Ovis aries: one gene and its partners. The protein of the gene in region 2 interacts with the protein of the main gene of each other region in a pairwise test. Links are inferred from orthologs where the notes say so. Each region holds a gene or a part of one and is shown on either strand. Other genes may lie near its edges. The genes, in order: TCEA2, GPKOW and SH3GL1.

Region 1 (5,160 bases), on a different chromosome or scaffold from region 2:
GTTTCCTCAGGGGCAGGGATTCATGCCAACCAAAAGCAGGGCAGGGGCAGGAAGCCCCACCAGGTGCTGGGAGCTGGGGGGCTCATGGGGCCCTACCTGCAGCAGATGCAGTGTGACAGGCATGGCCTTCAGCTCCCGCAGCAGGTCCATGGCTCCCTCCTGGAAGAAGGGAGGGCCCACGTAAATGACTCTCAGCTCTTGGTGGGCAAGCCCACCTCATCCTACACACAAGGGTTGGGAGAACAAACACAGGCAGTGACAATTTGGAGACCCACCTGGGTCAGATGCCCCAGGAACGCTAACCCCCCACCACAGGGCCAACAGGGGAAAGGGCCACAGCCCTCCCTGGCAGGGGTGCCATACCAGGAAGAAACACAGCCCTGAGAAGTGCCCACTCCTGCCTGGTCCCATGTCCTCTGCCCACGGAACTCTGGCAGCCTCTCCTCAGCGCCCCTTGCTGAGGCCAAGACCTCAGGGGCCTCTGCTCTCCTCACATGAACCCCCACACCCTACTCACTCCCTCCAGCTGTGTCACCTCGCCTGGCCCAACAGAGCCCTGTCTCCCTTCTCTGACCAGCACTCTCGCCCACATCTGCTTCCTCCGGGGCACACACACACAAGCCACATGACGCCACGGCAGACAGCTCCCTGGGGCCCTTCAGGACCGCTGGCCCTGCTGCTCCCACCACCAGCAACACACCTGCCCCCATCTCCTCCTAGAGCTCTGCTGAAACCACAGCTCTGTAGTCAGGGGGAGGCCTTGCACCACCCCACCCACGCCGGGCTTTGCCTTCCTCCACAGAAGCCTCGGGGAACCCACCAGTGAGGTTTCACGTGTGTGTGTCTGAGGACATGGGGGAGGCAGCCACCCAAGGCAGCCTAGCTGTGGGAGGGGCACAACCTGCCCCTCCCCAATCTGGATGGCACCTCTGCTCAGGCTGCAGCCTAACCCTCATCACCCCTGGCAAGTCCTGCCCCTTGGGCTGCAGAGTCCAGCCCCATGGTAAGCTCCTCACAGGGGACAAATGGTCACCAGAGACAAGGGCACAGTGCAACTCAGCAATCATCTTCCCCAGAATGGTGCCCCAGGCTGCAGGATACCAGCTTTCTGATGCCTCCGGACCAGGGAGGCATAAAACAGGATTCCCAGTCGTGGCCCCCTACTCCCCAAGGGGCCTTGAAGGCACTGGGACCCACCAGAATTCTCTGTTGGCTCTCACTCACCGGTCCATGGTGCCTCAAACCTTCTCACGCCCTTCCCAGTCCATACCTGTCCCCCCTCCTCATTTTCCCCTGGGCTTCCATCCATATGGTGCTCCACCTAGGTGTCCCCTCCCCTAGCCCTGCCTGGCCCCACCCAGTCCTCCGTGGGTCCCATGACCCATCTCTGCCCCGACCTGGAGGGCGTTTGTTTTGTCTCCTCTGGGGAAAGCAACTTTTTTCTCTTGGCATCTCTGGAAATAGCCATAGACATTCCCACACCCCTGCTCTGGGCTGCCCACTGCCTCCCAGGGGTGTGGACATTGTGCAGGGTTTGGGGACGAGGCAGTGTTGTTGCTTGATAGATGAATGATAGCATGGGAATCAGCCCCCTTCACCGCCTGGGTGGAGAACCCTGTCCAAAGACCGACTCAACCATACTCAGCCCAAAAGCCAGCCCCAAACCACCAGCCCTGAGGTGGTTGGGCAGGCATCTTAAGCCCCAAGCTGAACCTCCCCCGCAACTGCCACCACCACTCACCCACCCCAGGAGCTGAGTCTGGGGAGAGAGCAGGTTTTGTTTATTGAGCCTCTCTAGGAGCAGCAGGACCCCCCACCCCCACCCCTAGAGGCAGGTACCATCCAGCATAGATGCTTCCTATGAGGGTACGCAGGTCACCTAGGCCCAAAACTGAGAGGGGCCTGGAACTGGAGGCCCATCTGCTAGGCCCTCTGAGCCCCAGCTCAGTTTTTCCCAAAGGTTCACTGGCCTAGGGACAATGGAGGACCAGCCCCACAGCGAGCATGGCTGGCTGGAGTCCGCGGCCCTGGGATTCCCAGGGCAGGCTCAGGGCCTCCTAGGTAGGGCTCTTTCCCAAGGTGCCTACGCATTTACCCACTCCCCAGGAGCTTCTGGCTGAGCCATGGCTATGGAAGGGAAAGAATTTATTAGGGCAACCTGGTTCTTGGGCGACTGAATAGACAAGGAAAAAAAAGGCCTTCCCACCCAAGAAAGCCCTCTGGCCGGCTGGCTGGAGAAATGAGACGTCGGGGCCGCCGCAGCCCCAGACCAGGCAGAGGTAGGGGAGGCGCCACAGCTCCAGGGAACAAGGGGTCCAATCTCACACTCCAAACTCTTGAAGGCGGAGAAAGGATGTGGGAGACCTAAGGTGGGACAGAGGGCTCTGAGTCGGGGTGGGCCTTGGCAGGGAGTTCTGGGGGACTCCGAGGATGCCTAGGATGGGGAGGATGAAGGCCAAGGCGGCGGGCGGCCAGTCAGGGCTGTACAGGCCCGGACTTCAGCGAGGCCTGGAGGGGCGGGGCCGAGGAGGGTCTCCGCCTGGCCGGCCTCCCGAGGGGGTCTGGAGTGAGGGGTGGAAACGGGCAAATCCCAGGCCCGCGGGGTCTCAGCCTGACAGTTGGGGTCTGAGTCCAAAGCGGGTGGTTCCCGGGACAAGGTCCAGGTCGGATCGCGGCCTCTGCCGTGGGTGCGAGGTGAAGGGTTAGGGCTGGCCCAGGATGGGGGTCTCGGCCTCTGGCGGGGGTCTCCCCGCGTCCTGAGAGTCTCTGCCAGGGCGGAGCCTCGTCCTGCCCTTCGAATGGTCACCGCGACCCTGACGGGGGCTCGGCAGGCTCGGCGGGGGCTCGGCGGGGCGGGGGTCCCGGGGTCCTGACGGCCCGCGCCCCTCACCGCGCTCTTCTTGGTCACCATCTTGTCCAGCCTCCGGGCGATCCGCGCTATCTCCTCCTCCTTGCCCATCATCGCCTTGGGGGCAGGGCCCCCAGTGCCCGCCGTGCCAGCCTCAGCCTCCCGGCCCGGACCCCGGCCCCGGCCGCCGCAGCCTCCCGCACCCTCCGCAGTAGACGCAGCCCCGCCACGGGCGGGAGACCCTCCGTTCAAACCCCCGGCCCCCGCGACGCCGCGCTGCATCTTGGGACATGTAGTTCTCGCTCCCGCCCACCCTGCGCGAGCCCTCCCCGCTCCCGACCACAACTCCCAGGAGCCAGGTAGGCGCGCAAGGCATCCTTGGAAGTGTAGTTCTGACGCGGGCCGCCGCCCAAGGCCTGAACGCGCGCGGGCCCGTTAGTCGGCGGAGGGCGCTGCGGCAGCGCGGAACCCGGCCATGCGTAGGGCCCGCAGCGCCGAACGCTGCACTTTCCTCCGGACACCGCGCGGGGGCGACCCGGGTCCGACGGCAAGAGGCCGCTAAGGCACGCTAGGGTCGGTCCCCTCTCCCCACCTCTTGAGCCCTCCTTCGCCACCTTCTTCAGTCCAGAGGGCGGCTGCCCGATCCCAGTCCTGCGCCGAGCCCCTGAGCGCTCTGGCTGGAATTGTGGTCTCGGGGACCCTGGAGGCCTCAGTCACTCAGTCACTTCAGTCGCTCAGTCCTGTCCGACTCTTTGCGACCCCATGGACTGCAGCACGGCAGGCCTCCCTATCCATCACCAACTCCCGGAGTTTACTCAAACTCATGTCCATTGAATCGCTGATGCCATCCAACCATCTCATCCGCTGTTGTCTCCTTCTCCCATTCTGTCTTTCCCTTCTCCCACCCTGTCTTTCCCAGCATCAGGGTCTTTTCAGATGAGGCAGTTCTTTGCATCAGGTGGCCAAAGTATTGGAGCTTCGGCTTTAGCATCAGTCCTTCCAATGAATATTCAGGACTGATTTCCTTTAGGATTGACTAGTTTGATCTCCTTGCAGTCAAGGGACTCTCAAGAGTCTTCTCCAACATCACAGTTCAAAAGCATCAATTCTTCAGTGCTCAGCTTTCTTTAAAGTCCAACTCTCACATCCATACATCACTACTGGAAAAACCATAGATTTGACTAGACGGACCTTTGTTGGCAAAGTAACGTCTCTGCTTTTTAATATGTTGTCTAGGTTGGTCCTAACTTTTCTTCCAAGGAGCAAGCATCTTTTAATTTCATGGCTACAGTCACCATCTGCAATGATTTTGGAGCCCAAAAAACTAAAGTCTCTCACTGTTTCCACTGTTTCCACACTTTCCCCATCTATTTGCCATGAAGTGATGGAACCAGATGCCATGATCTTAAGTTTTCTGAATGTTGAGTTTTAAGCCAATTTTTTCACACTCCTCTTTCACTTTCATCAAGAGGCTCTTTAGTTCTTCACTTTCTGCCATAAGGGTGGTGTCATCTGCATATCTGAGGTTATTGATATTTCTCCCAGCAATCTTCATTCCAGCTTGTGCTTCATCCAGCCTAGCATTTCTCATGATGCACTCTGCCTATAAGTTAAATAAGCAGGGTGACAATATACAGCCTTGATGTACTCCTTTCCCTATTTGGAACCAGTCTATTGTTCAATGTCCAGTTCTAACTGTTGCTTCCTGACCTGCATACAGATTTCTCAAGAGACAGGTCAGGTGGTCTGGTATTCCCATCTCTTTCAGAATTTTCCACAGTTTGTTGTGATCCACACAGTCAAAGGCTTTGGCATAATCAATAAAACAGAAATAGATGTTTTAAGGAACTCTTGCTTTTTTGATGATCCAGCGGATGTTGGCAATTTGATCTCTGGTTCCTCTACCTTTTCTAAATCCAGCTTGAACATCTGGAAGTTCATGGTTCACGTACTGGTGAAGCCTGGCTTGGAGAATTTTGAGCATTACTTTACTAGAGTGTGAGATGAGTGCAATTGTGCAGTAGATTGAGCATTCTTAATGTTGAAGCTGAAACTCCAATACTTTGGCCACCTGATACGAAGAACTGCCTCATCTGAAAAGACCCTGATGCTGGTAAAGATTGAGGGTGGGAGAAGGGGACGACAGAGGATGAGACAGTTGGATGGCATCAGCGACTCAATGGACATGAGTTTAAGTAAACTCCGGGAGCTGGTGATGGACAGGGAGGCCTGGCATGCTACAGTTCATGGGGTTGCAAAGAGTCAGACACAACTGAGCAAATAAACTCAACTGAACTAAACTTGAGCATTCT
Region 2 (4,428 bases):
CCCACTGAGTGACACTTGAGGCTTCTTTTCCAGTGAGCTCAAGGGTGAGTTTTTCTTTCCTCTCATCATCCCTCACTTTATTCCTCCATGTTCAGTCCTTGGACAAATATTTATAAAGCATCTATTCTGTGCCAGCTACTGTTCCAGGTGCTGAGGATAAAGCAGTGAACAAAACAGACAGAAACTCCTGCCCTTGTGTGGCTTACATTCTAGTTGTGGAGACAGAATAAATGAAATGCCTAAAACATGATATGTCAGGTAGGGATAAGTCAGATGAAGGAAAATAAAGCAGGTTAAGGGGATGCAGAGGGATGGAGAAGGGAGTGTCACCAAGTTGATATTTGAGTAGAGACCAAAGGAGATGATAGAGGGAACCCTGAAGATACAGGAAGAGTGCTCCAGAGAGGACAGTAAAAGCAAAGGCCCCAAGGCAGGACAAGATCTGTTGTGTGTGAAGAGCATCGTGAAAGCCAATGCGATTGAAACAGATGTGGAGGCAAAGAGGGGTGGTAAGAGATTAATCAGGAGAGCTGGCTAGAAGCCATGATAGGATCGCAGCTGCAACGGGACCAGTGAAAAAGTTACTGCAATAGTCCAAATGAGAAATGCTGGTGGCTCAGACCAGAGGAGTTGTGGAAAAGAGAGATGACGGGATTTTGCTGACAGTATATAGGGTATGAAATGAAGGGATTCAAGGATGACTCTAAGGTTTTTAGGCTGAGTGAGAGGAAGGATGGATGGATCTGTGATGGACTGAGATGTGGAAGGCTCTGAGAGGAGGGAAAATCAGGGAAAGGAGGCCAAAACTGGAACAGGATGGAGAGTGAAGTGAAGGTCTTTTTTAAGATGAAAGAAACCCAGAGGTTGTCTGAAGACTGAGGAGAATGGTTCAGTTGAAAGAATCTCTCCGCTTTGGGGCTGTAGGAGAACTAGAACCCAAATAAGCATTGCCAAAAAATTGTGAAGGAACAGGTGGAAAGTAGGGTCCATGAGTATGAAAGGCAGACTTGGTTACTTCTGTGGACACACCCCTCATCTCTCCTGTTATCAGAATCATCACTCCCTTAATTCTTTATATTCACTCTAGACACATCAAGGTGTCACTGATGGACACATACCATGCTGATTTCCTGTCACTATGCCATTGTCTGGGTGGTTGCTGCCATTAGGAGCACTCAACCTCCTCTTCCTTCTCTCACTAAACCCTATCTATCCTCCTGGCCTCACTCTTACCACTCTGGTCTGGGTCACCATCACCTCTAGCATGGACTGCTGCTCTCCTTGCCTCCACCTTTGCTTACTAGTCTGTTCTGCTCACAGCAGCCAGAGAGAGCCTGTCAAGTCATAAGTATTGTCCCTTCTCTGCTCAGAGCCCTCTCATTGCTCTCATCCCACTCAGAGTAAAAGCCCAAGTCCTCACGATGGCCCACTTGCGACCTCATCTGCTACCCTTCCCTCTCACTCATTCCACTCCAGCTACACTGGTCTCCCTGGTGTTCCTCAAATGCTCCAAGCAGAGTCTACCCTTAGGATCTTTACATTTCCTGTTCCCTTTGCTCCTCACCTCCTTCAGATAATCCCAGAGTCCAAACCTTTTCACACCTCAGTATTTGGATTCATTTGTCAATGCTTCCAAAAAGGACAGAAGGAAGGGAGAGGTGGCAGACCTGTAGTATACACACAGACTTTTCCTGCTGGTGCAGGGAGACAAGCCTGGCAGACAGGAAAATGAGAGACTGGGGAAGCGGGGAGGTGAGGGGCCAGCTCACTGTCTCAGCCTGGGGTTCGCTGTCTGTCCCTTCTCCGTTGGGGATGCATCCTTTCTGGATCATAGGGATAGTGAGTGTGGGGTCAACACCCACATTCTCTCTCTCCTCCAGAGACTTCTTGGATTCTGAAGAAGAATGGTAGGGAGCAATGAGGTCCCACCCTCTCCTTCCATCTTCCTCCCGTTCTTCCTTCACTAGGGCAAGGCAAAGGAGGGATTACCCACCCTCAATGAGCTCCTTCACAGCCTGGGACAGCATCCCATCCATCAAGACCTCAGTATGTATGGATGGCCCAGGGGCCTGGGCTGGTGGCTGCCTTCGATGGCCGTTCTGGATCAAAGGGATGACAAGTTCCTTGGGGGCTTCTGAGGGCTTCACACTGATGTGGACACAGAGGAGTGAAATTGGGAGAGTAGCACAAGCAGTGAGTCCTGAGCCACAACCCTTCACTCAGAAGAAACACAAGAGCCACACTCACCCCCAGCCCCATAGATCACGCCCTCTGTTCTCGTGTTATACCCTAGTGGTGCTTTCTTTGGATTCTCTCCCCCACCACAAACTTTTTTTTTTTTTTTGGCTGCACCCGGTGACTTGCGAGATAGTAGTTCCCTGACCAGGGGTCAAACCTGGGCCCCCTGCAATGAAAACACGGAGTCCTAACCACTGGACCACCAGAGAACCCTCTCTCCCCACCTCTTAAATGTCAGTGCCTTCGTGGAATCAGTCCTCAGTTCTGGACCTTCTGTTCATCCCAAGACCCACTTCTGTGGCTTCCACAAGGACCTAGAAATCACCATCTTCAGCCCAGACTCTCCCCCCAGTTCCAGGCTCCATACCAGCCTCCTGGATGGTTGATTCTCTTCTGGAATCACCTCCCTCAAACTGTCCATTCCGAATTAAGCTGATGATAGCCTCCCCCCAACCTGAATCTGGCGCTCAATTCCGGTCCCCATATCGAAGAAGCCTCACCGCTTCACCTGGGCCACTAGGAGCCCTGTCATTCTCATTCCTTTTCTTCTTTCAGAACACAAACACACGCTCCGCAGGGCCCCCCGACTCCTAAACACATCCTCTCTCAGGAATACATCCTCTCCTCTCAACCCCTCTGGCCAACAGATCCAATTTCCCCACCTCTCTTACTGACTCCCGACTTTTCTCCTTCACAGATTTTCTCCGGCTGTCCTTCAGACTTCCCAGGCCACTGTCACCAAGACATGAACTGATTCCACCCTCCCGCAGGCACCCACCGCACCGGTTTCCAAGGGATGAAAGTCCCAGCACTTCACCTCTGCAGCTCCCTGCCTTCCACGGTCTTCAAGAAATCCTTCTCCTCCGGAGCCGTGTCTCCCGCTAGCCATCTTCGGGCGGACGTGCGATTGAAGCTGAAGGAAATCGGGGCAGTGGAGGATCCCGTCGGCCGCAAAACACCATCTTCGGCGTCCGCCATCTTGCCCCTCTTCCCAGGCCGTCGTGCTGCTCTCTGGGAAGCTTAGTTTACGCTCACTTTGCCGGGGCCTTGAGCACGACCGGTAGAACTACCCTTCCCATGAAGCATTGCGGCACTGGCCGGCGAAGGCGGATAGAGACCGTAGGAAGTAACTGCCGTTCTTTTTACTTCACAGGAGCGCGTGACGCCAAGCATAGAGGGAAATGTAGTTCTTAGGGAAGCTGTATGCGTGCTAAGTCGCTTCAGTCGTGTCCGATTCTGCGACCCTATGGACCATAGCCCATAGGCCAGATTCCTCTGTCCGTGGGATTCTCCAGGCAAGAATACTGGCATGAGTTGCCATTCCCTCCTCCAAGGGATCTTCCTGGCCCAGGGATGGAACCCACGTCTCTTACATCTCCTGCGTTGGCAGGTGGGTTCTTGGGGAAGGTAGGCGTGATAGAAGATGGGTTCGTTCTTGCTAAGTATTCATTCCTATGTGTGGGCATTATTAATCGCCTGCTTTGCCCTACTGGTGTGGGAAAGTAGGGAAAGTAAATAATTAAGAAAAAAATCTGTGAGTGCCAATTGTGTACAATAATAAATAATAGACATGTAAGTGGTGCCTTCAAGATGATAGATGTAATAGTGGACAAACTCTAGATTCAAATACAGATGACCTTTGGATTACATGGGTTTGAACTGTGAGGGTCCATTTATACGTGGATCTTTCACTAAATAACCTACTACATTACTACATGATGTGAGGTCGGTTGGATGCAAGGTTGGTTGAATCTGAAGATGCAGAATCTGGAAGATTTTAGACTGCCCTGCATTGTTGCCCCTAATCACTACATCGTTCAAAGGCCAGTGGTATTAATAAAATAGTCTGGCTTCCTCTCTTGAGACTCCAAGTCTAGTGGGAAACAATGACACTCAAAACGGATAAAAAAAATGTTCCTAACAACTTTAAATGTTGTGAGAGCCACCTCCTAAGGCCTCAGAAGATTAATGAGACAGTCCTCTGAGTAGGACCTTAGAGTTTGTAAAGTAGAAGACCGATACTTAAATAGTCATAAGAAAGAAAACTACAAATCTAAAAATTCATCCCAAGGAAACCATCTAAGATGTTAAAAAGTATTTTATATCTTATTTATTGTAGCAAAGCTTGAAGACCACTAAAATGAACAACAAAAGGGGGTGGGCTAAATGAATTAGAGCACATGGTTTGGA
Region 3 (5,030 bases), on a different chromosome or scaffold from region 2:
AGTGTCTGCTCCCCAAGGCCTGACAAAGCCAAATGTCCCTGGGGTGCTGCACGGAGAGGAAAGGGGAGAGGGAAAGGTTAGTCACCTCTAAGTGAAGAGGTGCCAATACAAGCTTGACAGATGCCAGTAGATACTCTGGGGTTCTTCTGAGGACCCCAGGGGAGATGCGGTGTCTGGGTGCTGAGTTTTACGTATGTGTCCATCTGCATATATCAGGTTATCTCTTGTTTCAAGAATTAGAAAAAGCAGGCAGCTGCCACAAGAATGCCCAGGAGGGATTTCTGTTGTTGCTGTTTGGTTTGGTTTGGGTAAAATTATCCTCACTTTTCTCAAACTGTAAAACAGGGTTTCCCAACCTCAGCACTGCTGACATCTGGGGCCCAGTACACTGTAATACAATTACCTCCCTCCAAGTTTTGACAGCCAAACATGCCTCCAGACATTGCCAATGTCCTCCAGAGGGTGGAACTGGCCCTGGCTGAGAACCACTGTCCTACTGGAAGACAAATGCCCCCCAATCCTTTGGTGTAGAAAGGGGAGTATGCTGACCCTTGGGCCAGATAAAGTGAGACTGAGACTGAGATCAACAGAGACTGGTTTAAAACATGTTCACTTGGTGAACCCTCAATATATACTAAGACTTAACAGAAATGTTACCTGGCCCAGACGATCCTATCCTGAGGACACAGAAAGAGGATGAAGGCGGTGTTTCTAAAATCAACACAAGAAATACGCAGAGAGGTGGACATGTCCAGACCCACAGTGGAGGTCTATGGAAACTATTGCAGAGGGAATGGAACACAGCCAGGGTGATTCTTGAGAGCACAACTCAACAGGGACTTGGTCACGAGGCCAAGACGACGGCTCCCAGAGGAGGGCGTGGCCATGGCGGTGATTCTTCGGGACTGGGCCCCAGAATGCCGCGATAATAAACTGATCTGAACCACCAGCTTACGCTGCACTGGGCTTTCCAGGTTTCTAAGCGCTCCCTCTAAGTGCTACATTCAGGTCTGAATGCAGGGCATTCTTCCTTCCCTGAGAGGAAAGGCTCAGGTGGACACCCTGAGAGCCCCAGCTAGTCCCTCCAGCACAATGGGTCTTCTGGGGGCAGGATGGGCTACCAGCCTGAGGCTGGAGCGGGGAGGGTTTCCAGAGACCCGACCACAGGAAGGAACAAGGTGGCCCAGGAGTTCTTCCAAGACCTATAGTTCTTACATGAGGGGCTACATCAGGGTGCAAGATAGTGAGCAGCACTGCAAAATGCTCTGGTCAAGTGTGCAGCGAGGCGGGGCGGAGGGGGAGGTAGAGGCTTGCTGGGCCAGGTTACTCATTCCATCCTGCTGGAGCACAGGGCTGTACTCTGAGCAACAACCCTAGAATCCATCTAGATTAAGTTTCTCTTCCTCCAGTGTTTAGCCTGGAGTCAAGAGACAGACCCCAAATATCTTTAGCCCTGTCTAGGATCATTACTTTCCCCCTCAAGGGGCCAAAGGTCCCGGCTGTGTATCACTGGGGACACATTTCTCTTCCCTCCCACTGGACCTCTCCAAGTCCTGGGTTAAAGTCTGGTTTGCCAGCACTGCCTAAAGGATTCCTATGACCATTGCTCGTTCCTTCCTGGAGTCCATCCACACAAACTCCAAACCTAAGATTCTTAAGGGATGGAGAAATCTGGGAACTTTTTGGATTTGAGCCTATAAACTGAATTTTACATTTGCCTAGTTTTCTGAAGAGCGGATCCACTCAGCTTTCACCAGATTTGTGAACAACGGGGCCTGGAATTTCCAAAACACCTATTCCGTCCATCACAAGTAGAACACTTAAACATTCTTGGATTCCACATTCCACTTCTGGGAACTTAACCTGTAAAGCCAATCCTACCTGTGAGCAGAGATACTCACTGGCTATTCATAACAGTACTGTACATGGCAGAAAACTACTTGAAACTATCTAAACATCCATCAATAGACAAATAGTTAAAAAAAAATCATGGTAGACTTCATGGAACGGAATATCACGTACCCATTAAAAAGATCCAGGAGGAGGTAGAGGAAAAGCAAAGAAGGAAGATGAAATACATGACATCTTATCTCTTCAAAAGAACAAAACAAAACAACAGAATTGAGCAGTAGGCTCTAGTGCTGGGGCTCTAGGGGGAGGGGGGAGAAGGGGGGTTCCCCTAAAGACATCTGGCAGCATAGGAGACATCAGTGGTTGTCACAACTGGGGGAGCTCCTAAATCGACTGGGAGGGGGCCAGGTGTGCTGCTCAATGCCCCAGAGTGCCCAGGATGGCTGCCAGGACAGAGAAAGACCCGAGGTGGAGAATTCTGACTCTAGTATGATCTCCAAGACACAGTTAATGAAAACCAGCAAGTACATGGTTCTGTGTAGACCATGCTACCACTACGTGGGTTTTTTAAAGAAGAGGCGTACACTTCTCTTTGGTTAACTGGTGACAGTCTTGTTTCTGGGGAGAGGGACTGGATGTCTGAGGAACTGAAGTGGGAAATTGACTTTTCACTCAATCCTTTCAGTTCTGCACCCGGCCCACTAAGAAGGCTGTTTGTCATCTTTGAAAAAAAGAATTGCTCTCGACACAGAATTCCCTGCCCCTGGGCTCTCTGTGTCGACAGCCTCCGGACGGCTTCTTCCTCTTCTCTCTCTCCGCTCCCTCCCTGACCTTTTAGAGGGAAGGACAGGAGGCGAGGGATCCATGTCCGGGAACAACCTCTGGGTGCATCTCTGCTCCCCTCCACCGTCTGCCCACCATCCTCGAGGAGACTGGAGCCCACATGGCGGACAGAGCCTGGGCGCCCTCGCACGCAGACCCTGTCCCTCCTAGGCTGTACCCACCCTGCGAGGGACGCGTGCCAAGATCGCCCCCTCCCTACCTCCGGTTCCCTCCTGAGTCAGGGCCAGGCCTGGCATCGCCTGGCCCCCATCCGAGCAGTCTGAGCCCGGGGCTCGCCGCACACCACCCCCACCCCGCCCCGCCTCGGCCTCCGCTCACCTGGCTCGCCTTGTAGAACTGCTTCTTCAGCCCCGCCACCGACATGCTGCCTCCCGCCGTCGGGCCTGCCGCCCGGACCCAGCGAACCGGAGGGACCGCGCAGGCGACAGGTTTCCGGGCGCCACCAGCCCCTAGCGCGCCTCAGCGGGCCCCTACGGCACCGCCTCCGCCGCCCTTAAACCAGCCCCGCCCGCCCCGGCGCCGCCTCAGACCCTCGCGAGCTCGCGCGGCCAGGATATTACATGGCAACCACACACTTCCGGTGCCGGCCCCCGCGCGCGCACGCGCGCCCTGAGCCCCCCGTCTGCTCACACGCGCCCCCTGCCGGAGGGGGGAGTGCACGCACATCCCGCCTGCTAACCGAGAGGCCGCCTCGGCCTATGAGTGGACTGGAGCGAGCCTAGAGGGGCTGTAGCGGCTGCAGCGACCCCTGGAGTCCCGGAGGTGGCCCTGACGTCTCAGGAAAAGTGCTTAGACCTTTCTTTAGAGGCTGGGGAGGCCAAGGGGCAGGTAGAACTCCAGAGGCTGAGTTTACAAATCTTCACATGCCTGTTCGCTAATCTCAGCTATATACAGTTCCTCTGAGGTCTTCCACCACCTTCCCTTCCAGTCCCGTGTTCATTCATTCAGTTGCCCAAATCAGACATCAGGTTATGACTTGTACCTCCTTTCTGCTACCCACTGTCTCTCTGCCCTGATCAGACCATTCCACCAGTCTTCTCTCTGGTGTGCCCAGCTTCAGGTTCTCCCCTCCAGTTCATCCGTTACAAGGCTGCCAGCAAGATGCTTCTATAACATAATTCAGATCACACGATTCCCTGGCCAATTCTAAAGCCAGTAGTATTGGCCTTAGAATACTTCTAAGGCCTTCTTGACATGGCCTACAAAGCTTGTAAAATTTGGCCCCATCACCTTTTCTGACTTCTATAACCCATGATCCTTTTTGCCTATGGGCTTTGCTAACAGTATTCCTCTCTTGCTCATTTCCTCCCAATCTTTCCTCCCATCCCTTCTGCATAAAAGAACTCTATTTGTAATGTCACCTCCTCCAGGAAGGCTTCTCAGATTCATATATGCTTACGGCTATTGATTTTTTTCATCAGTTGTTTTTTGTTGTATGAATCGAAAGTTAAGAATGAATCAAAATGAGTAAATGAATCCAAAAAGAAGAGCAGGGTTGGGGCCAGTTGCACAATAGATAACAAGTCTGACTACAGGTTGTAAGAAGAACAATAAAGTGACTAGAACTAAAGTGCTTGCAACTTCCGTATTGAAATCTCTGACAGAGTTGAGCGATTTTGTGAAGCAGAGGATTGCTGAAAGTTTACAAGTGCCTCTACAGAAGGTACTGGACTTGATCAGACTATTGCTTTAAAATATACATGCCCCAACCTCTCCCTAAGATCCTGATGGGGCTATTACGAATAGTGTGAAAAACCTCCCATGTGATTTTGATGGGTGTCCTGAATGGTGATCCACCAGCCTAAATCATTTCAGGTGCCAAAATGTCAGAGAAAGAAAGGAAAATATCCTAAAGGTTCAGACAAGGAAACCGAGACCTTGAGTAAGACGTGACTTGCCCAAAGTGATGTCCTATTTTTCCACATTATTTTCAACCAACCCTACTGATGTAATTATCCAATCTACAAGATAAATAGAATTCTGAAATTGGACTAAGTTAATTATTTGCTTCTCACTTTGCTTTGCTTGAGAGAGTAAATTGGTGCTGAACAAAACCTGTTCTAAGGCTCAAAGACTGACTCTGAAGGTCTCTGTTCCATGTGAAGTTTTTAACTGACATGATCACACAGTTCAATCAAATGATATTTATGTATTCACTCAAATATTTATTGGGTACCTACTAATGAATAAGTCACCAGTAGGTCCTGCAGATACTGTGATAAATGATTCATGTCCTCATGGAGCTGACGATAAAAACAGAAATGAATTCACTAGCCAATAACATGTTAATAAATAAGCACAAGCTGTAATTGTTCCAAGAAAAAGAACAGTGTTGT

The links.
Region 1: the proteins of GPKOW (region 2) and TCEA2 interact in binary tests that used the Homo sapiens proteins (3 or more experiments, as listed by UniProt). The two-hybrid records come from large-scale screens. The link is inferred for Ovis aries from reciprocal best matches to the Homo sapiens genes GPKOW and TCEA2.
Region 3: the proteins of GPKOW (region 2) and SH3GL1 interact in binary tests that used the Homo sapiens proteins (3 or more experiments, as listed by UniProt). The two-hybrid records come from large-scale screens. The link is inferred for Ovis aries from reciprocal best matches to the Homo sapiens genes GPKOW and SH3GL1.

The regions. Positions count from the first base shown.
Region 1 is NC_056066.1:53,508,524-53,513,683, forward strand, and holds the start of TCEA2 (transcription elongation factor A protein 2), read right to left. Parts: upstream 3,099-5,160; 5' UTR 2,963-3,098; coding exon 2,891-2,962; intron 2,365-2,890; exon of another isoform or gene 2,207-2,364; intron 222-2,206; exon of another isoform or gene 160-221; coding exon 97-159; intron 1-96. UniProt on the Homo sapiens protein: Necessary for efficient RNA polymerase II transcription elongation past template-encoded arresting sites.
Region 2 is NC_056080.1:56,002,154-56,006,581, reverse strand, and holds part of GPKOW (G-patch domain and KOW motifs-containing protein), read right to left. Parts: 5' UTR 3,217-4,428; coding exon 3,056-3,216; intron 2,553-3,055; exon of another isoform or gene 2,463-2,552; intron 2,149-2,462; coding exon 1,994-2,148; intron 1,895-1,993; coding exon 1,770-1,894; intron 1-1,769. UniProt on the Homo sapiens protein: RNA-binding protein involved in pre-mRNA splicing. As a component of the minor spliceosome, involved in the splicing of U12-type introns in pre-mRNAs.
Region 3 is NC_056058.1:17,515,569-17,520,598, reverse strand, and holds the start of SH3GL1 (endophilin-A2), read right to left. Parts: upstream 3,255-5,030; 5' UTR 3,058-3,254; coding exon 3,013-3,057; intron 1-3,012. UniProt on the Homo sapiens protein: Implicated in endocytosis. May recruit other proteins to membranes with high curvature.